2 linked regions of the Diceros bicornis minor genome follow. The protein of the gene in region 1 interacts with the protein of each later gene in a pairwise test. Links are inferred from orthologs where the notes say so. Each region holds a gene or a part of one and is shown in the gene's direction. Other genes may lie near its edges.

Region 1 (10,658 bases):
CAGTAGTATGGTTCCAGTCCAAGTCTGAAGGCCTAGAACTGGAGCACCGATGGTGTACATGTCAGCTCAAGCAGGTAGGCAGAGAGAGAGAATTCAACCTGCCTCTGTCTTTTTGTGTTATTCAGGCTTTTCAAAGGATTGTATCATGCTCACCCACATTGAGAAGGGCAATCTACTTTACTCAGTCCACTGATTCAAATGCTAATCTCTTCCAGAAGCACCCTCACAGACACATCCAGAAATAATGCTTAAACAGATATCTGGAAATGCTGTGGCCCAGTAAAGTTGACATATAAAATTAACCATCACATGTCTCTATGATTTTTTGACTACTCTAGGTATCTCATAAGTAGAATCATACAGTATTTGTCTTTTTGTGACTGGCTTATTTCACTTAGCATAATGTCCTCAATGTTCATCCATGTTGTAGCATTTATCAGAATTTCTTTCCTTTTTAAAGCTGAATAATCTTCCACATTCTGTTTTTTGACTCATCCATTGTTAGACAAGTGAGTTGCTTCCACCTTTTGGCTATTGTGAATAATGCTGCTATGAAAATGGGTGCACAAATATCTCTTTGAAACCCTGCTTTCAGTTCTTTTGGGTATATACCTAGAAGTGAGATTGCTGGATAAGATAATTCTATTTTTAATTTTTTGAGGAACCACTATATTGTTTTTCATTGCGGCTGCACCATTTTACATTCCCACCAGCAGTACACAAGGGTTCCAATTTCTCCACATCTTGGCCAAGACTTGTTATATTTGGGGTTGTTTGTTTTTGACAGGAGCCATCCTAATGGGTGTGGTCCTATGGGCTCTTTTTATCTTTCTCATTTTAGAGTTTTTAAAAATATACTTTATGTCAAATATTGTAGTCTTGTTTTAAAACAAATTTATTGTTACAAAAAACTAAAACAAATTCATTGTTACTAAAATTAAAAAACAAAACAAAACAATAACAGGGGCCAGCCTGGTGGCATAGTGGTTAAGTTTGGCGCACTCCGCTTTGGCGGCCCGGAGTTCCTGAGTTTGAATCCCGGGTGTGGGTCTACACCACTCATCAAGCCAGGCTGTGGCAGCAACCCACATACAAAGCAGAGGAAGACTGGCATGGATGTTAGCTCAGGGCCAATCTTCCTCAGGCAAAAAGAGGAGGATTGGCAACAGATGTTAGTGAAGGGCCATGTCCTCATTGAAAAAATAAAAATATGAATAAAACAATAAAACAATAACAAAAAATCATGAATCAGATCAATCACTCTTTCCCAGAGGAATAATAAGTGAAAGGGATGAGAAAGAGCAAGGAGTGTCACCCCAAAATGCGTCTGAATGGAAGTTTCTCCATTATGGAAAGAGGAGCACTGGAGCAAAGAAATTCCCTCCTAATATTTTCAGGCTTTTTGTTTTCTCAGCCAGTTGGGCTTTACCATTTGTTAAACCAGAGGCTGGCTCTCTTCTTGAGGGGGAGAGAGCAGTCTAATTAGGACAATTCTGTCCCCAACTTCAGGTAGCCCCACTCTGAAAACCACAGGAGGATAGTTAAGTTTTTATGCTCAGAGGCTCTGAAATAGGTCAAGCTAGTACATTAATTAAATTAATTCCAAAGCCTGACTGTAAGTAAGGCCAATAGATATAATCGCTACTATTTCCTATTCCATTTACCAGGTTAAACTATTAACTTGTTATGTTGTCTAATACAGTATACTAAAAACATGTAATGAAATAAAATGTCAAGAGAAAGACACTAAAATTATACAATATCAGAAGATACTTCAAATTAGGATATTAGTCTTTTTTCATTATCAAATTTTCAGTTGGGAGATTAACTCTCCTTCTCTTTGTAAAGTAAACTGCATAGAAAATCCAGACTCTGTGAAGTTCACAGAAATTAAAATGCAAAAATCATTATTTCCCAACTACTTATTATACTTAGGCTCAGCCAGCATTGTTCTTAAACAGGTGCCTGGGTAGAATCAGGATTCTTTCATCAGCTGTAAGGCTGAGCTGTTTTCACTGGAAAATTTCTTCAGTATCTTCAATTTGAATTGATTCAATCAAAATTTCTGATGTTTCTTACTTTCAAACAATCCAAAACATAATAGGACACTTAATATTAAATTATCAAAATATTAAATTAATACTAATTTAATTAAGCCAAAACATTAAAATTAAAAAGTAAATTCCAAGGCCATAGAGCTACCCAAACAAAATGGTGTTATCAGAAGCCAGTGTACTACTTGGGATATGTCAGAACCACATAGCTGTTTCTGAACAGCGTAGCAGAAACTCAGCATCAAGAGTAGAGAAAGAAGAGAAAACCTTTTCAGTTTTAGCTTCTCTGGCTTACCAATCATTTTATGCCAGTTATCTGAACCTATGACTTGTAAACATAGTCTCAATTGAGAGAAATGTTTCCCATGATGAGGTTAATTATTGTGCTGTGTTTAATACATGACAAATGGAGGTGGGAATCACCTATACAAATTGTTTCCTCTTTCAGGGAAGGACACTTGAGATTTTCCTGCCTTGTTATAAAATTTAGCAATTTAAAGGTTGGCAGTCTTTTTTTCCGGTTACTAACTATGTTTTAATGAGCTTATTGATTTTGGTTTTCCACCAGCATAATCAAAACCTATTAATTTCCATTTCCCCCTTTTTTCCTGACACCCAAGGGCTGATTTGAGTGTAGGCTCTGTTTAGTGACATAATTTTCATATTCTCTTGTGCGTGTTCATTTTCAGCCCTTGCACAGTGACTCCAGCCACTGTGTAAACGCTATGAGACTGATTAGGCCTATGAAACCTGCCTCCTGATCAAGATTCCCTACTTTATTTCAGCTGGAGAATTGTCTTCAGCACATTTCTGAGTTGAAACTGCTTCTAATATTTCCGAGATATATTGGTTTTTTATTCTACTTGGGGTTTACTGAACTTCTGGAATCTAAGAAGGCAATATCTTTCATCAGTTTTAGAAAATTCTTAGTCTTTATCTCCTGGGATATTGCTTTTAGCCCACTCACGCTCTCCTCTCTTTCAGAGACTGTAATTACACATATATTTTATCTTTTGACTGTATTCCACATGTCTGTTATGCTCTGCTCTTTTTTCTCTTCTTTTTTCTGTCCTTCATTTTGGAATTTTCTATTGACCTACCTACCACTTCACTAATCCTGACTTCTGCTGTATTCAGACCGCTGGAAACACACCCAATGGGCTCTTATTTTCAGTTATTGTAATTTTTATATTCAGAATTTCCATCTGATTTTTTTATAGATTCCAATTCTATATTGAAGTAAATTATCCATTTTACATCATTGCTCATTTCTTCCTCTATTTTCTTAAACCTATTAGTCATAGTTATTTCAAGTCCTGTCAACTCTAATATCCAGGTCTGTTTCTATTAATTTTTCTCTTAGTGGTTAGTCACTTGGATTTGATTTTTAGAATGCCTCATAATTTTATCTTGGATCCTAGACATTGTGGATGAAAAAATTGTAGAGGCTATGGATAATGTTATTCAACTCCCAAGAGTTCAGTTTTGTTCTGGTATGCAGAAAGAATACTGGCAGATCAGTTTGATCCTGTAAAGACGTGGTTTTAAGCTTTGTTAGACCTATTCTATTTCAGTACTGTATTGCCCTTACTCTAATAGTGTGGCCTTTTTGGGTATCAGCTGAAAGCCCTGGGTGTCTCTCTACCTTGGACAGGCTTGAAGTCCAACTTGTGTTAGATGCTGAAATCTCTTCTTAGCTCATTAGGCTCCATACTGCTGTTTTCTGGCATCTTGCTTTGTGCATGCTGGGCTTAGGAACTGGCCCCTATTCTGAGGGGAATTTGTACCCAGATTATTGAGCTGCTTCTCTGCCATTCTCCCCTCTCTGGGGATTCTCCCTCAAGTCCCAGCCACTTTGGCAGCCCTGAACTTTCACCTTTGTCTCTTTAGCCCAGTAATACTGCCATCTTGTACTTGGCCTTTATTCTCTAGCACCTGATTTGTAAAATTCTCTCAGGAGAAAAATCCCAGGGTGAATATGGAGCTCACCTCATGTGCTTCTCTTCTCTCAAGGATCATAGATTGGATTCCTGTTTGCTTTGGCTACTCCTCAATGCCTTCCAAGACTTGTTTTTGTATTTTCCTATATTTAAATATATATAGTATTTATATATTTATTAATATTTATATATTCTATGCAATTCCACTCCCCTTGCCCAGGAGGAAAAAGTTAATCTGATACATGCTCCTCCATTTTGGCTGGAACTGGAAGTCTCAGCACTTCTTAGCTTTTGGGTTTGTGGTAATTTCGATGAACTGTTTGTCTGCCTCAACTAACGAAGATGGCATATTCTCTTTAAATTAATGAACCCATTCCTTTTAATTTGTGTATTATATAAAATCTACTACTCGTCTGTGGGCAAAGCCAAAGTCTGAGTCAGCTAGGAGAGCAGCTTCAGCTAAGTAATAGGATTAGAAGCCCGACTGCCAAGAATTAGGTGGTAAAGAATGAATGGAAGTCAGGAAGTATAGACATCAAATGAATACAATGTATTTAAGCAAACTGGTTATGAAGGGAAGTGAGAGCTATGACGGTGGTTAGAGGTGGAAGAACTTTGTTTTAGGGATGAGGAGACTTGAGCGTCTTTATAGGCTGGGGATGGAGCTAATGGAGAATGGGAGGCCAAAAATATAAAGACAACAAAAGATAATTAACACTTTCTAAGTAGAGATGAGAGCGGTAGGGTAAACTGCCCAGGGAAGATAGATTGGAAAGAAAGAGAGGTAAAGATATAGATTAAGTTAGGAGGTTTGAAAGAAAGAATAATGAGATACTTGATGAGACACTAGATAGCGTTATTTCCAAGAGGCAGTTGGAATCATGATGGGGGCGACCACTTAAAGATAAAGAAATAGTAAAGAAGTGGAATTAAAAACTGGATGAGATGGATAAGTGAGAGAGACAAGTCTCAAGTGACTCCCAGGTTTGAGGCTTGAGCCACTGGGTTGATGGTAGTGTGGGGGTTAAAAAAAAACAAGACTGAACAGCATATTTGGAAGGAAAAATAAATTAAGGGTGAGTTCAGCTTTGTTCTGTTAACCTTAAAAATAAAACAGCCAGTTATTTTACCAGAAAAATGAATTTATTTGGGAATAGTCATAGAATTGCAATTTGGAATGGGCATGCTATAGCGGACCATTGGCAAATCCAACAAACAAGAGAGAGGAATGTTATTTTATAGAGAAAAAGGAGGAAAATGGGAGGGATTGTTTTGAAGGACACTTCACTGGGGAAAAGCAAGAGTTCAGGACATTGAGAGTTTCTCATTGGCTAAGTTGCTGGGGTAGTCCATTTCTGTTTGGGATCCAATTACATTTCTTCCTGTAATTGACGGTGCTTTCCTGTTGACTTCTTTCTGTTGAGGTCTATAATTGACTTTTCTGTAATTGACCTTCAATGGTACTGCATGGCAGCTCCCCCTCCCAGCCTCCCAACTCCATTTTAAATGAGGTTTCCCTTTATTAATTTTCACAGTTCACATCGAGTCAATCAACAATAGTGACTATATTGCCTATCAACATTGGGATCGATAGTACCCACCACAAAGATAAAGCTTCTCCCTTGCAGGCTTTGTGCCATATAGAATAGTGTAGTAGAAGCATTCTGCTTTGCTGGAGACTCACTAGCTTCCATTCTTAGAGGACACTGGAATATAAGAAAACGGTTTTCAGAACAAACATTTAGTGGAGGACTTATTTGACCTATGAACTTTTTTCTAACCATGAAAACATACCCTTGACTTGATGGTGGATACCAAGCTATATATATTTTACTATGAGTTCTTCATGAAAAATGGCAATCAGAAGGCCTCAACTGAAAGGAAAACTGAGGTTGTTTAGGAGAAAGGTTTTTACAATAACTAAAGGGAAAATTGAAAAGAAGATTTTAAAAGGAGGAGAAGGCGGGAAAGAGGGAGAAAAGAGGCTAGCCAACAACCTGGAGAAGTAGTGATTCTGAGGAGAGGATAATACAAGAGGATGACTGCTTTTGAGGGAGGAGGAGAACAAAAACTGGGAAAATACGGAGAGAGGAAATGAGAAAAGGAGAAAGTTCTTGAGGTTGGAAATTGAGGATGGTGACAATAGAACGGATAGGAAAAATAAAGAATGAAGTCTGGGAAAGAAAAGCTCTCCACGTGGGGGTAGTAGGTGGAGAGAGAATGGGGAGATGATAGAGGGTGAAGAGGCAGCGGCGGATGTTTGTGGGAGAGGGACAGAGGCAATCTGGGCGGAGCAGGTGGCAGAGGCAGGCGCGGAGGAGGCCTAGTCCTTCCAGGTCTCCACCACAACAGTGGCAACTGGTGTGAATACTCATCCACGCCTAGACGATGGATGCGCCTTGTCAGTGCGGGAAGATCGTAGGAAAACCAAGCAGGGACGGTAGCTAGGACTGGCGTGGCCAGGCTCGGGAAATCCATGAACAGGACCAACAGCGGATCCTGCTGCCGCCGCCGCTGCGACTGCAGCAGCTGCTGCCGCGCATCCCGCCGGGCGCACCACGCGCCTTACTGGTCTGGGGACACGGCGCAAGCCCCACAGCCCTCGCGGCGGTCTCCCGGCCGGGAAGGACGGCATCCCGAGCAGGCTGGGAGCTGGGCAGCAGCGGCCGAGGAGGAAGAGGCAGTCGCGGCGGCCGCACCCTGGATGAGGTGAGAGCACCGCGGGTGCGCCGGAGGCTGCAGACTGCGCCGAGAGGGGCGGCGCGCCTTGCGCTGGGCTAGAGAACCGCTCCTGGGACTGGGACCCAGGGGCTGGAGACCTGGGCGCCTGGGAGGGGTTGGTGCCAAGTGACATTAGCTTGGAGAAGGTTGAAGGGCACCAGGAGTGAGGGGTGATGCAGCTGGTGGCGGGGACGGGAGGGGGAGAGACAGTGGAGGGTTGCCTAGAAATAAAGATGGGGTGCTGGATTGTACCGGACTAAATCTTGGGAAACCCAGTCTCTATCCCAAGGTCTCTGCTTAATGTGGAGATCACCCGCTTTGTTGGCGGAGATGAGGTTGAAGGCCATGCTTGTTGGGTGGAGTCAAAAGAGAGATGAATACATGATTCAGAAGGCCATGTCAGGGTGGAAGCATTAGGGATAGTAAAAGGAGATAAAGGATCAGGAAATGTGCATGGGAGTACATTTGAAAGAGTAGGCACTGCCTTCTCTTACACCCTCTTTTTAATTTTTTTTTTCATATTTATCTTAGATACAGACAGCAAGATGGGGGTTGGTGACGGTCCCTTCTTCCTAGGCTACCTCTCTTCCCCTACAGAGCTGGAGCCCTGCCTGTTGGCTGGATGAGGTTGTGCAGGACAAGCTCCACCCAAACAGGTCCCTTCCTTTGCTCTGGCTTGGAAGATCGGGCAAATGAGGCCCAAATTGTCTTCACGCAGCAGTAGCAGGATGAAAATCTGCCATGCATACGATTTTTTGGAGAAGAGACAGATGGTGCTGCTGCCTTTTTTGAAATAAGCATTTCCTTGTCATAGCATCTTTGGCTTATTCTCTTATGGGAAGCTAGTACCCATGAAACAAACTACAAGGCGATAGTGGTTTCAGTCTCTAAGCTGCCCTTAACTAACTGGGATCTGAAAAAAGTTACTCATTTCTCTAGGCCTCAGTTTCCTATGTGTAAAATCAGGATTTGGATCTTTTGAGTATTTATTACAGAACTAAATATTAATGGAATCTGTATTCTGTGTTCAGAACTATGCTTTATTTGTGAACTAGGAAACAAGTTTATTTACAGCCACTTAATTGTATTGATTCATCATACTGTCCACTGTTTATTTGAGAAGACTGAATCAAACATTCAGTTAACAGTGCTTAAAGGAATCACATTTCTATTAAGAAATCCATAATAAATTACTGCTTTTAAGAAGGAATGAAGCAAGAAGTATTCATTATTTGATTTTTTATAAAGTGAAATTTTAGCCTAAATATAAGTACTTTTTTTTTTAACATATCTATCTATGGGGTGTTGAATATTTTTTACAGAGTACTTTGGAGTTTTTTTAAAGCTTGAAACAAAAAAATTTAATCTGAATATATATTTATAATTTAAAATCTTCTTAACTACTTTATCTACACTGGGGTGACCTCCTTTCATCAAAAGAAGCATTACCATTGCAAAATTTTAAGTGGATCGTGACTTCTTATCATAAAGGTGTGATTTTTCTTACTGTCTTTGGTAACAAAAAGTTTGTAGGATTAGAATTTGGTTCTCTAAATTGTGGTTTAATTGTTAAAATAAATAGCATGCTTTAATTATTTCATTAATAGTTACTCATCTGACAAACCTCTACATTCATCTTAGTTGATGTAATGACGAGCCTTGAAATGTTTTTAAACATTTCAGGAATTCTCAAAGGAAACAGTGTCAGGGACTTCACTGAGGTTGGTGCTACTCTGACCTTCATTTAAAAATCAAGTCTCCAGGAATGTGCAGCGTACTTTTAAAAACATACGTGTCTTAACTATAATATTAGAGGTTTATGAGAATTAGAGGCTTGTACTTGGGAAGGAGTGTTTTTGGTATCCAATTTTCTAACTCCCAATCAACTAAAAAATGAAAGAAAGCAACTCTGCACACTATCCAGATTCAATTTAATTCAGTGTTATTTATTGAGCAGTGCTGGTGGAGGCCAGTACAAAACTGGATCCAAAACTACCCTCAGGTACCTGAGACTCTGTAGTTCTAAACTATGCTCATCTAACTATGTATAGTATGGAGTAAGTGCTGTAACAGAAAGATGGACTGTGGAAATAAAAAATAAGTAAATAAAAGAATATCTCTGGGGAAGGCTGGCTGACTGTGTCCCAAGAAGCCATACAAGGTGGCCTTATCTTGGAAAGTATGTGAGAATCTGGTCTTTAACTTGTTGAGTCTGTTTCTCACACTGATATTCAACAAATCCACGAGACTATGATATAAACCCAGGAAGGCAAATTATTAATTTATAATGAAGATTCTAACATCTTAGAGAATTAGACCCTCTTTTGTTATTTCAGTGAGGTCTCTGGGCATACTTGCCACATTCAGAAGCCAAATTAGAACCACAAGATTGTTTGTGAAACTTGAATTTAGAACAAAGGGGATTAATCAGTGAATTCTAAATTTTAAAAAACACTTTAAAGCTTCAAACAGAGTATCAAGGGATACAAATGGGTTCTTCCTTCCCTGGATGGTGTGTCACTAATGATCAAACTCTCTTCTCACATACACCTTTTTTCTGTCTCTGACATGCTAATATTTTCAACCAGGTCATAGTCTGTTTGGCTTGGGGAATCCTTGTGTCTGTTTCAAGTGTCTGCACATCTCTTCTCTGAACCAGTTTGTCTTCACCATAGCTTGGTGAGCGTACTTGCCCTAGGTAAAATTCATGACAGGGATAGGGAAGTGGGATTGGGGGACCTTGTTACAGCCCCTATGTCCTGGCAATATGAACCAGGTAGTTAGTGGCAACTGGATATGGTGCTAAGGGACAGTGGATCAGAGAGGGCTTCACACACTCAGGAGAAGAACTTTGTGTGGCCTAGTAAGATAATGAAGTCAGGGTTGAGGGGAAGGCAAATTTTAGCCCAGGGATACAAGCAGATGTATGGCCCTGAGAAAATGCCTTATTGAAGTGAGACCCACACTGGGACAGCACTTTTCTATGAGGATTTAATTCAAAGATGATCCTCTTTCAAGTATACAGCTATTTAAAAAGAGGAATTAAGTGAGTTGCTGATGGCAGTCTGCCTCAGTGTGTACTTTTGAAGCCTAGCAGATTGCACATTCTAGGTGGATAGCCTGGAACCAGCAGACAACTGTCAGGGGGAATGATGTTGGAGAAGGTTCAGTCAATTTCTAACATCAAACGTCAACCATTGTGTCTCTTTAGCCATCTCTCCTTTTGTTATTATTATTTTTTGCTGCTTTATTGAGATATAATTGATATACAATAAACTGGGCAAATTTAAAGTGCACGATTTGAAAAATTTTGATATATGTATATATCTGTGAAATTATCACATATCCATCATCCCAAAAAGTTTCCTTCTGCTCTTTTATAATCCCTCCCTCCTGTCTCTTCCTGCCCTAGTAACACACAGACAACCACTGATCTTTCTGTCACTATATGTTAGTTTGCATTTTCTAGAATTCTATATAAATGGGTACATACAGTATGTACTCTTTGCTTTTGCCTGGCTTCTTTTACTCAGAGTAGTTATTTTGAGGTTTATCCATGCTATTGACAGTATCAGTAGCCCATTTTCTTTCATTGCTGAGTAGTATTTCATTGTATGGATATGCCACAATTTGTTTATTAATTCATCAGTTGTTGAGTTGTTTCCAGTTTTTTGGCTATTACAAATAAAGTTGCTATGAACATTGGTGTACAAGTCTTTATGTGTGCATATGCTTTCATTTCTCTTGGGTAAATTTCTGGGAGTAGAAGAGTAGGCGTATGTTTAACTTTTTAAGAAATTGCCAACCTCTTTGTCAAAGGAATTGTACCTTTTATGTTCCCACTAGTAATGCATGCAGGTTCCCATTTCTCCACACCCTTGCCAACATTTGTTACCGTTATGTCTTTTTTTTTTTTTTTTTTGGTGAGGAGATCAGCCCTGTG
Region 2 (10,228 bases), on another chromosome or scaffold:
ATGTTATGCCTCATTGGTTTCCAAAGTGGTTGCACTTGTTTCCATCCCATGGGCAAACAACACAAGTTCCTAATGACCCACATTCTCTACGACAGTTGGTGCTGCGTCAGACTTCTCATTTTCATTCTTTCTTTTCTTTTTGGTTTTTTTTTTTTGGTGACGAAGATCAGACCTGAGCTAACATCCGATGCCAATCCTCCTCTTTTTGCTGAGGAAGATTGGCCCTGGGCTAACATCGTGCCCATCTTCCTCTACTTTATATGGGATGCTGCCACAGCATGGCCCGACAAGTAGTCCATAGGTGCACACCCGGGATCCAAACCTGCGGACCCTCGGGCGACTGCAGTGGAGCACACACACTTAACCGCTACACCACCAGGCCAGCCCCCCTCATTTTCTTTCTTTATTCTTTTTTTTGGTGAGGAAGACTGGCCCCGAGCTAACACCTGTGCCAATCTTCCTCTATTTTGTATGTGGGAGGCCGCCACAGCATGGCTTGATGAGCTGTGTGTAGGTCCACGCCTGGGATCCAAACCCGCAAACCCCAGGCCACTGAAGCAGAGCACGCAAACTTAACCACTACGCCAACGGGCTGGCCCCTCATTTTCTTTTTTTAAGTCTAGAGGGTCAATAAAGTTTTCTATTGTGCTCCTGGGTCCTTCAAAAAGGCTTCCAGTTGCCATTCTAATTAAATTTGTTCCCAGTGGTGACACCTATACGTATGGGAATAGCCAAGGGCAGTCATGATTCGTAGGCCTTTCCTCACAGGGCACAAGAGAGTTGTTACAGACTAGGAATGACCCAGGTTTTACCTCTAGATTAGTAGAGACTACATGAAGTGCTCAGAGAAGGATTCTGAGGCTGTCCAAGCTTAGTAAGAAACAGTGTTGCAATAGATTAGTGATGTCTGAAGTGGCTGATGGAATGGAATGTGGTGGCCAACTTTCTGCCATCTCTAGAAACAACTGGCATGTTTATGAAGGTATCACCGGTGGCAGGCCACTGACCACCCACCGTGCAGAAGAGTTAACAGGCCTGAGACTGACATCCGTAGAAAGGCCTGTTTACATGGCTGGCCCATGGCTGGCATGAGAACTTGCATTGCAGGGTTCCCACCATTCCCTCAGGAGAATGGCTCACTGTGCCTAAGCTTTGTACAAACAACATGGTTTATGCTGAACACCTGCGTTCCTTCTGCAAGTCTGGCATTTTGGTATATGCTAGGCAGAAGATGCCTATGTGACCAGCCCCCAACAAAAACCCTGGGCATTGAGTATCTAATGAGCTTCTCTGGTAGACAACTTTTCACACCTGTTGAATTAAGCGTGTCATGTGTGACTCCACTGGGAGAGGACTCTTGGGAGCCTGAGCCTGGTCTCCTGGACTTTGCCCCACCCACCTTCCCCTTTGCTGATTTGCTTTGTATCCTTTCACTGTAATAAATCATAGCCATGAGTATGACTATACGCTGAGCCCTGGGAGTCCTCCTAGCCAATTACCAATCCTGGAGGGAGTCTTGGAAGCCCTCACATACTTAACAACTAAGAGCTTTTATACCAAAGTATCATTTCTTCCCGGAGTTTTAAATCACATTATCTAACGCTAGAATTCTCTCCACCTGGTGTGATGACACTGGATGTCTCACACTACATTAGAAGCTCTGATCTGTGGTTCTATATGTCTGATTAGTTAAAAAAAAGGGTGGTGCATTAGCTATGATTCATCTCAGAGGTAAGTCTTCTGAAACATTAGATCTGGGTGTGGATGGGGAGACATATTAAAGAAAGACAAAGCAGGGACTAAGAACGTTTTACTAGTTGTTGATTTTATTTCTCAGTTACTGGCCCTCTCTCTCCTACAAGATTCACCCCCAAGCTCTCTAATTTTTTCCTGATTCAACAACTGGCTCCTAAGTACCTTTAACTTCTGACGCTGGTTGGAGATCTGCTATTCAGTGCTACTATGTACCCTTTGTAATTAGATTGCTTCAAACTCTGCGATTCCAAATGATTCTGATCAACTCATAGAAGGATGTAGAGTCTGGATGGATGTAGAGTCTACAGTTCCATCTGTAAATCTGACGAAGGCCATAATCAACTTTCTCCCCAGAAAGATACACAAATACATGTAAACACACACATTGTTCATGTGTGATTTTAGAGAGTTTAGGGTCTCTGTGAAACCCATTTATGGACTAGTTCCCAACACTGTCCAATAGAACTTTCTGCAGGGTAGAAATGCTCTATTGCTGAGCTGTCCAATATGGTAGCCACTAGTCACGCGTGGCTACTGAACATTTGAAATGTAGCTAATGTGTCTGAGGAACTTAACTTTTAATTTTATTACTTTTAATTAATTTAAACAGCTACATGTAGCTGGTGGCTATTGTAATGGACAGTACAGATCTAAACGTGTTATTTTGCTTCCCCATCTTCCTGCCTTCAGTCCTGGTGCTGATGCTGGGAGGAAGGAAGTGAGAGGGGGTGGGGAATCCCGAGAGACTCAAGCAAGAGTACAGCTTCTGTGGTATTGACACGATAAAGCAACAGTCTCTTTGTCACCTAGCAGGCCAAGTCACTGTGTAATGATCCAGGGGCTTAAAGGAACTTGGATTTAAGGCTTTCTACTTCCCCTGCAGAGGTCAGGGCAAAGAGCTGCAAAGAACCTGCCAAAAATAGAACTGCCTTTCTTCATAGGGCTCAAAACTATTCGGTCTTCATGTACTCAGCATTTGACGACTCTAATTTTTCAGCTGACACAAACAGATAGTGTCCCCTGTGGAACCTCTTCCACAGTAAGCACCCACTGGTTGGATTTTGTGACCAGACTAAACTTAAAAACTAACCAACAGTTTAAAAATAAAACAAGTCACTTACTGTTGCTGCCTCTTCCAGGGCCTGCTTGTTTCCTCCAAGAGCTTTAAAAAGAACATTTTGTTTAGTTACTATCAGATCTTAATGACAAATCATCTTCCCTAATACAACCAGTTATCTTTCTAAAACTGGACCAGATTAAGCCCTTGGTCCAACATTCAAGGACCTTCACAATCTAGTCTAATCTTCCTCCAAGCTTGACTCATCCCCTCCACGACCTATCCTGTGTTCCACCACACCAAAGTTCCTGTTATTTCCCAAATGTGCCACCACCTCTCATGACTCAGAGGCCTGGTACTTATGATTTCCTCTGCACCCGACAAACTTCTAATTCATCCTTCAAACTCAGCCCAGACCCCGAACTCTGCCCATTTTGCTATCACAGCAGATTGCTACATGTTGAGTTAGCTGCTCACTCTCGTCATACCCAACAACTACTCAAAGTTGTTTAAGTGTCCACCCCTGCCCTGAACTGAATTCTTTGAGGACAGAGATAATATCCATAGCTTCTTGCAAAAATATGTCATACAGTAGCTATGTGGTAAATGTGTGTTGAATGAAAGGGTCTCTGCAAGATTTAGATGTAGAACAAAAAGTGAGGTTAGGTCCTCCCGCTAGAAATACTCCTAGTATTCTATAATAGTTAAAAACTCAGGTTTCAAAACCAGAATGCCTGCGTTCAGACAGACTGCCCCCAACTGGTTTATGAGACCTTGAGCAAAGTAACCAATCTCTCTGCACCTTAACCTTGTCATCCATAAAATAGGGACAATATTAATAATGAATATGGTCATTATGAGGACAAAATTAGTTAATATATGCAAAACACTTGGTACAATGCCTGTCTGGCATAGGAAGCACTATACAAATGTGCTTACTGACTAATTTTCATTATATAACCTTGTGTGAATTTTTTAAATGATCCTTCTCTACTAACTTGTCAGTTCCTGAGAGTAGGGACGATGTCTGTTTTATTCCTCAGGGCATCCAGCCTTGTTACTGACACACACGCTCAATGAATATTTGTAGAAATGTGTAAACAAGATTACTAAATAAAACAGCGAATCAAAAGAATCATTAAATGTCTACTATTTGAGCAGAACAGGCATTTCTACCCAGGAAAGAGGCTACATGCTGTGTAATTAACAATAAGCAAAACAGAAAAAGGGTAATCCAGCAGAAAGGACAGCCTCTTGCATTTCCCTGGACATTTAACAAGGGGGTGGGGAACAGGCTGGGATTTTTCTCTGGCCAGGAAAACTCTCAGGTCCTTGCACTTCACAATTCGATTTGCCCATTTTTAAATTGGCAATTTCCATAAGATGCAGAAAGCACTGCTTGGGGTTATCCTTCCACCCGAACTCTGGTAGCAAATCAAGTTACTCATTCATTCGTTTTTAAATAGTTGGATAAAATATGTATATTAAAAAAGGGGAGGTGGGGGTGCTGCAGTTTCCTATAGTGATCATGGAAGACCTCACTGGTCACGATAACCACAGAGGGGCTCCAGACCGAGGCCTGGGCACACTCCAGCAGCTCTTACCGAAGTAGTCCAGCCAGTTCATCTCGCGCAGCGCCTTGGGCAGCCGCAGGATCTCGATGTTGTACAGGTTATCCAACTCCTTGAGGAGGTTCTGCCTGTCTGACTGAATTTGCTTGGATCGTATTTGCACTGCGAGAGGGCAGAGCCGACAGGACACGGGTCACCGAGCGGGTCAATGGGGCCTCGAATCCGTGCTGCCTGCGCCCCAACCCGCCAGCGCCCCGCGATCGCCCCCGGTAGCCGCGACGACCAGGGGTCCGCCCCTCACCTTCACGGTCGAAGTCCTTAAGAAAGGAGGCGAGCTTCCGGCTCCGTAGCGAGTTAGTCTTGGCTACTCGATTGCTGCCCTTCCTAGACGGAGCCATGGCGCTTCGGTGGAGGCTGCGGGGAGCGGGGAACCGAGCTAGAAGGGGTCAGCGGCGGAGATGGGGGAGGGAAAGGGGTCGCGAAGTGGCGGGAGAGGGCGGACGGGCGCCCTAGGGGGCTAGAAGGGGGACCCCTGCCCTAGGGGCCAGGACTTAAAAGGCACATACCTGCAGGTCGAGAAACAAGGGCTGAAAAACCTCGCCGCTCCAGCTGAGAGGGAGCGGCTCCGCGGCCAACCGGACGTGCGACCGCCGCCACCAAATTCAAACTGCCACAGGCTGACCAATGAGAAGTCGCCGTCTTGGGAGGGTTCCACAACATCCAATCACAAGGAAGCTCTGTGCTCAGGCAGCCAGTCCACACGTAGGACTACAGCACCCAGAAGGCATTGCGGCTGACGACATATTTTCGCGACTCAGTAGCCGCGTTGGGGCATGCGTAGAGAAGCTGCGGGCGCAAGGTGGTGGCTTTACCGGGTTGTCCGGCTCTGCCTTGCTTCAAGTGTTCTCGCAGGTTTAGGGACAACGACTGGCAGTCTCAAGGAGAGGAGACAGCATTCCTGCTCTGGAAGCACGGGTCCGGCGTGGGAGACCGGGCTTCGGTCCCGGGAATCCGCAGTCTAAAGCAGGAGACTGCCCTAGCCAGGGACGAGCCTCCTCCGTGGGAGAGTCAGGAAACCGTTCCCGAGGTGGGAAACAAGGATCTGCCTCCCGAGAGCCCCTCTAGAGGTAAGACAAGGCCTCGCGCCGGGAGCTCCTGTCGGAAAGGATAGACAGCCCGCCCTACCTGCCAAGATAGAAACCCTGGTGTAGATGGACCTCGCCTGAGAACGGAAATAACTCCCACCCTTGACCCGGTACTTCCCCTACCTACTGGGGACCCTAATGCTGTTGTTTTCTTTCTGGTTTCTTTTTTTCTCCCAACAGAAGATGACTCAAGACCAGCCTTTGCTTGCTGTGCAGGAGGCCCTGAGGAAGTGCTTTCCCGTGGTGGAGGAGCAGCAGGGCCTGTGGCAGAGCACCCTACGGGACTGCCAGCCCCTCCTGGCCTCCCTCAGCAACTTGGCCGAGCAGCTGCAGGCGGCTGAGAACCTGAGATTCGAGGATGTGCCGTCACTTCGAGCCTTCCCAGATTTAAAGGAGCGGCTCAGGCGCAAGCAGCTGGCGGCTGGTGACACTGTCATGGACAAGCTAGGGGAGAGGCTGTAAGAGGCTCGATGGCGCTCTTTCTTGGAGGATGTTTTATAAGTAGCTCGGATCGGTCAGAAGGGTGTTTTTCTTCTTGAGAGCGTGATTTTTGGGGGTGTCTCATCCTTTCCATCTGTTGCTTTGAGACCTCTGTCAAAAAGCCATTTTCTGGCATTTCCGTTTTCAGGCTAGGCATGGCAGTGGTGGACTTAGTAGAAGTTACAAAAGCGGAACAGAAAAGCAATGAAGAAGGCTTATTAACCCTTCTCTATAGTTTTCTTTGGTAAAAAGCAGTGAGGAGGGGCTGGCCTGGTGGCATAGTGGTTAAGTTCAGCGCACTCTGCTGTGGCAGCCCAGGTTTGGGGTTCGTGGGTTCGGATCCCAGGTATGGACCTATACCACTCATCAAGCCAGGCTGTGGCAGCGACCCACATACAAAGTAGAGGAAGATTGGCACAGATGTTGGCTCAGGGCCAATCTTCCTCACCAGTGCTCCTCCTCCAAAAAAAAAGAGCAATGAGAGCTATACTGGAAACAGTAGGTGCTAGAGCTAACGGTTTTATAAGCATTATCTCATAAAATCTTTTCGGCACCTGTGTGACTTAACTTCACTTAATACTGTTTTGCAGGCGAGGAAAAAGGCTCAGGCAGATTGCCTGTGGTCGCACAGCTAGTAAATAGTAAAGCTGGGACTCCAACCGAAATGTGCCTGACACCAAGGCTGGAGCTCGTAACCACCACTTTGTTCTGTGGTACACTGATGTCTCTCTTCCTGGGAGTGGCACATCTCTAAGCTCTTCTTATGCCTGATGTTAGACCGTCTATCTTAGAGTCCTAGGTAATTGAGGATAGAGAAGAGCCAGAGCACATATGGCTTTCCTTGACCAGAACAAAACAAGGTTCTAGTGTATAGAGTTTGTGCCATAGACTGATAGGAAACCGTCTGTCAAAGATGAGGACCTTCTTTGTATTCACTTGTACAAAATATATTAAGCCCCTGTGGGATGCCAGGCACAGGGTCCTGGGAATACAATGAACCAGACGTATTCCTTAGCTGAGTGGAAGAGATAGACAGTCACTCAATTAAGTTATGTTGTGGTACGTTCGAAAAATCGTGAACTTTTATTTCAATTGATTACATATTTGTGTGTGGGTATTGGGCTGTTATTGTAAGTCTATTTTTTAATCGTGAGTCAAGGTCAAACATATTTGAAAGCCACAATTCTAGGCTAGGGAATGCCTTGCCCTTTGGGAAGTTGTAGCCTTCATCTTGGTGGCTGGGCCCCTTGGAGTCACCAATGGAAAAATAACAATATTTACCATAGGCTAGGCACTCCCTCAAGCGCTTCATAATAATCCTTTTCATTCATTCCTTCATTGAATAAGTGTTTGTTGTTTTGTGACCCAGTCCCGATGTTCTAGGTACCTTAGGTTGTGCAGTGAGCACAACACAACATTTTTATACATGATTGAGAATAAGTGACTTTCTTAAGATCCATAGTAGTCTCTGTGCATCCAGAGCCCAGACTTTACCGTTCAAGAATTTACTAGCGTGTGAACAGTGCTGGTTGGTTGCCTTGGTTTCCTCTTGCTTATTGCCTTTCACATACGGGGCATGGGACTGTGGGTGAGCATTTGCTCTCTTCATGTGGTTTTATGGCAGCCCCGGAAAGGCCCCTTGGTCTTTACTTTCTTTAGCAACTGGGCTTATCATACAGTTTTGAGAGCCATGTAACTTCTTCAGCCTCTCTATCTTTAAGTCAATTCTTAATTTTTGAGCCACCCCTACCTCCAAGGCACCATCACTAATCTTAGACCAGTTGGTCTCGTTTGGAGGCAGTTTTGTGGGTTGGGACGTTTGGCAATATGTAGAGACATTATTGATTGTCACAACTTGGGGAAGGTAGAGCTGTGGTTTGCTCCTGTCATCTAGTGGGCGGAGGCCAGGGATGCTGCTAAACATCCTACAATGTGGAGAGCAGCCCTTCACCACAAAGAATCACCTGGTCCAGAATGTCAGTGTGCCAAGGCCTTCCTCATGGTGTTGCCTAATACCAGACGTTTTCCCCCAGAGCTGCCCTCCTCAAGGTGCGAGACACAGTCAGCAGCCACGTGGAACGCGTGCTTCAGATCTATGTGCAGCGTGCAGACGCGATCGGCATTGATGCCGCCCTGCAGGCCTCCGTTGTGAGCCCCTCTGTGGCCGACATGTTGGAATGGTTGCAGGATATTGAGAGACATTATCGACATTCGTATCCTTTGCACATGTTTCAGGTAGTGTTCAGAGTTGTTCCAGGAAGGCTTTTTAGTTTCAGTTTCCACAAGATTACAAAACTATATGGTGTGGGTCAGTTCTCTTTGATTCCTGATCTTGGATTCTTCCTGCATTCCTTCGTCCAGTCATTCCTCAAATCATTTATTGAGTGACTACCTTCCAGGCATTGTTCCAGGTGCTGGGAGATAGGCATTCCAAAGGGAAAGTGTATGGAACGTCAAATGGTGATAAGTGCTATAGAGAAAAATAAAGTGGGGAAGGTGAGGGATGAGGCTGGGGTTGTGATTTTAAATAGGGTGCTCAGGGCAGGCCTCACTGAGAAAGTGACGTTTGAGAAAGGACCTGAAAAGGACGAGGGAGGGAGGCATGTGGATATTTGGAGGAAGAGTGTTCCAGGCAGAAGAAACATCAAGTGCAAAGGCCCTGAGGTGGAGCATGCCCTAGGTTCAGGAAATAGCAAGAAGGCCAGTGGGTAGAGCAGGGTGAGGAGTGGGAGCCTAACGAGATGAGGTCAGAGAGATGGGGTGGGACCTCGTAGGGCCTCGAAGCTCTTTGAAAGGACTTTGGCTTTTACTCTGAGTGAGATGGAAAGCTGTTGGAAGGTTTGTGGGTTTTTTTGTATTTTTTTTTTGTGAGGAAGATCAGCCCTGAGCTAACATCCATGCCAATCCTCCTCTTTTTGCTGAGGAAGACTGGCCCTGGGCCAACATCTGTGCCCATCTTCCTCCACTTTATATGGGACGCAGCCACAGCATGGCCCGACAAGCGGTGCATCAGTGCGCGCCCGGGATCTGAATCTGGACTGCCAGCAGTGGAGCGCACGCACTTAACCGCTACGCCACGGGGCCAGCCCCTGTTGGAAGGTTTTAAGTAGAGGAATAACATAATCAAAACCACGTTTTTAACAGTATCACCCTGGCTGTGTTCTGAGGAAAGACTTGGGGTGGTGGGGGCAAGGATGGAGGCGGCAAGAGCAGTTGGTTAGAGTTCTGGCCTTTTTCTCTCTATTTTCGCCTGATACCCGCATCTACCCTCTGGCTTAAGTTTCTACTTCATTTGAGTAACTCCCAAATCCAACCTTTATTCTTGTCTCTAGTCCTGATTTTCAGTTTCCTGCAGCTGCCTCTAACTGGATTGCCCACAGAACTGCAAACTCAGATTTAACCTTGAGCTTCTCCATCTGGCCCTCACATTCCACTCCCTTTCCCTCAGTGGTAGGATCTTGCCTGTCTAGGCACCCAGTCTGGAAACTTAAGCAGCATCTTCCCCCTTTTCCTGTTTTCTCTTTTAATTGCAGCAGCAGCAGTGGTGGTGGTGGGTACAACAGTGTGCGCAGTCAGAGCAGGAGGTGCGCTAACGTTACTGAGCACTTACGTGCCAGCTGCTGTTCTAAGAATATTTGCACAGTCACTTGTCAGCTTCTTTGATTCTGTTTCTCTGGCGCTTCTTGTATTTTCTTCTCTATCCCCACTGCCTCTTCCGTAGTTTCTTACCTCTCACTGGGACCCGTGACCCCACGCAGCGTCTTGCCAGGCTTCTCTGCCTCTAGGTTCTTTCCCTCTGAGCCGTCCCAGCTGGTGACCTCACTCCGTAGGTCTTCAGGAGGTCTGGTGCTGAGCCTGTTACCTGTAGAGGAGTTTGCACTAGCTTCTGTTCCAGGAGGGTAGAGCGCAGAATCCCCACGCTGGTCTTCAGTGCTCTTTGTGTTCTGGCTCCGCCTGCCTCCTCAGCCAGCTTTCCTGCTACTCTGCACTGTCCCCTGCCAGCCAGAGTGGATGATTTACTTGTCTCTGAATCCTTCCATGCTTCCCGCTTCTGTACCTTTGCTTATGCTTTTCCTCTCAGCTGGAACCTTCGTGCTACCCTCCAGGCTGGATGTGTTCGTCCTCTGAACTTCCACTGAGTTTTATCTTTCAAGTCACTTAGATTCTTTCTTTTTAGTTTCTGGTTTTTTCCTCACCGTGGTGAGGTGGCAGGGCAGTGT

The links. The genes of interacting proteins can lie anywhere in the genome.
Region 2: the proteins of PDE4DIP (region 1) and AIRIM interact in binary tests that used the Homo sapiens proteins (3 or more experiments, as listed by UniProt). The two-hybrid records come from large-scale screens. The link is inferred for Diceros bicornis minor from reciprocal best matches to the Homo sapiens genes PDE4DIP and AIRIM.

The regions. Positions count from the first base shown.
Region 1 is NC_080743.1:52,078,277-52,088,934, forward strand, and holds the start of PDE4DIP (myomegalin), read left to right. Parts: upstream 1-6,470; coding exon 6,471-6,703; intron 6,704-10,658. UniProt on the Homo sapiens protein: Functions as an anchor sequestering components of the cAMP-dependent pathway to Golgi and/or centrosomes.
Region 2 is NC_080752.1:51,708,645-51,718,872, reverse strand, and holds the start of AIRIM (AFG2-interacting ribosome maturation factor), read left to right. Parts: upstream 1-5,214; 5' UTR 5,215-5,510; intron 5,511-5,708; 5' UTR 5,709-5,711; coding exon 5,712-5,986; intron 5,987-8,041; coding exon 8,042-8,221; intron 8,222-10,228. Other genes in the region: CDCA8 (borealin), read right to left, coding at 2,877-2,917, 4,417-4,545, 4,685-4,781. UniProt on the Homo sapiens protein: Part of the 55LCC heterohexameric ATPase complex which is chromatin-associated and promotes replisome proteostasis to maintain replication fork progression and genome stability.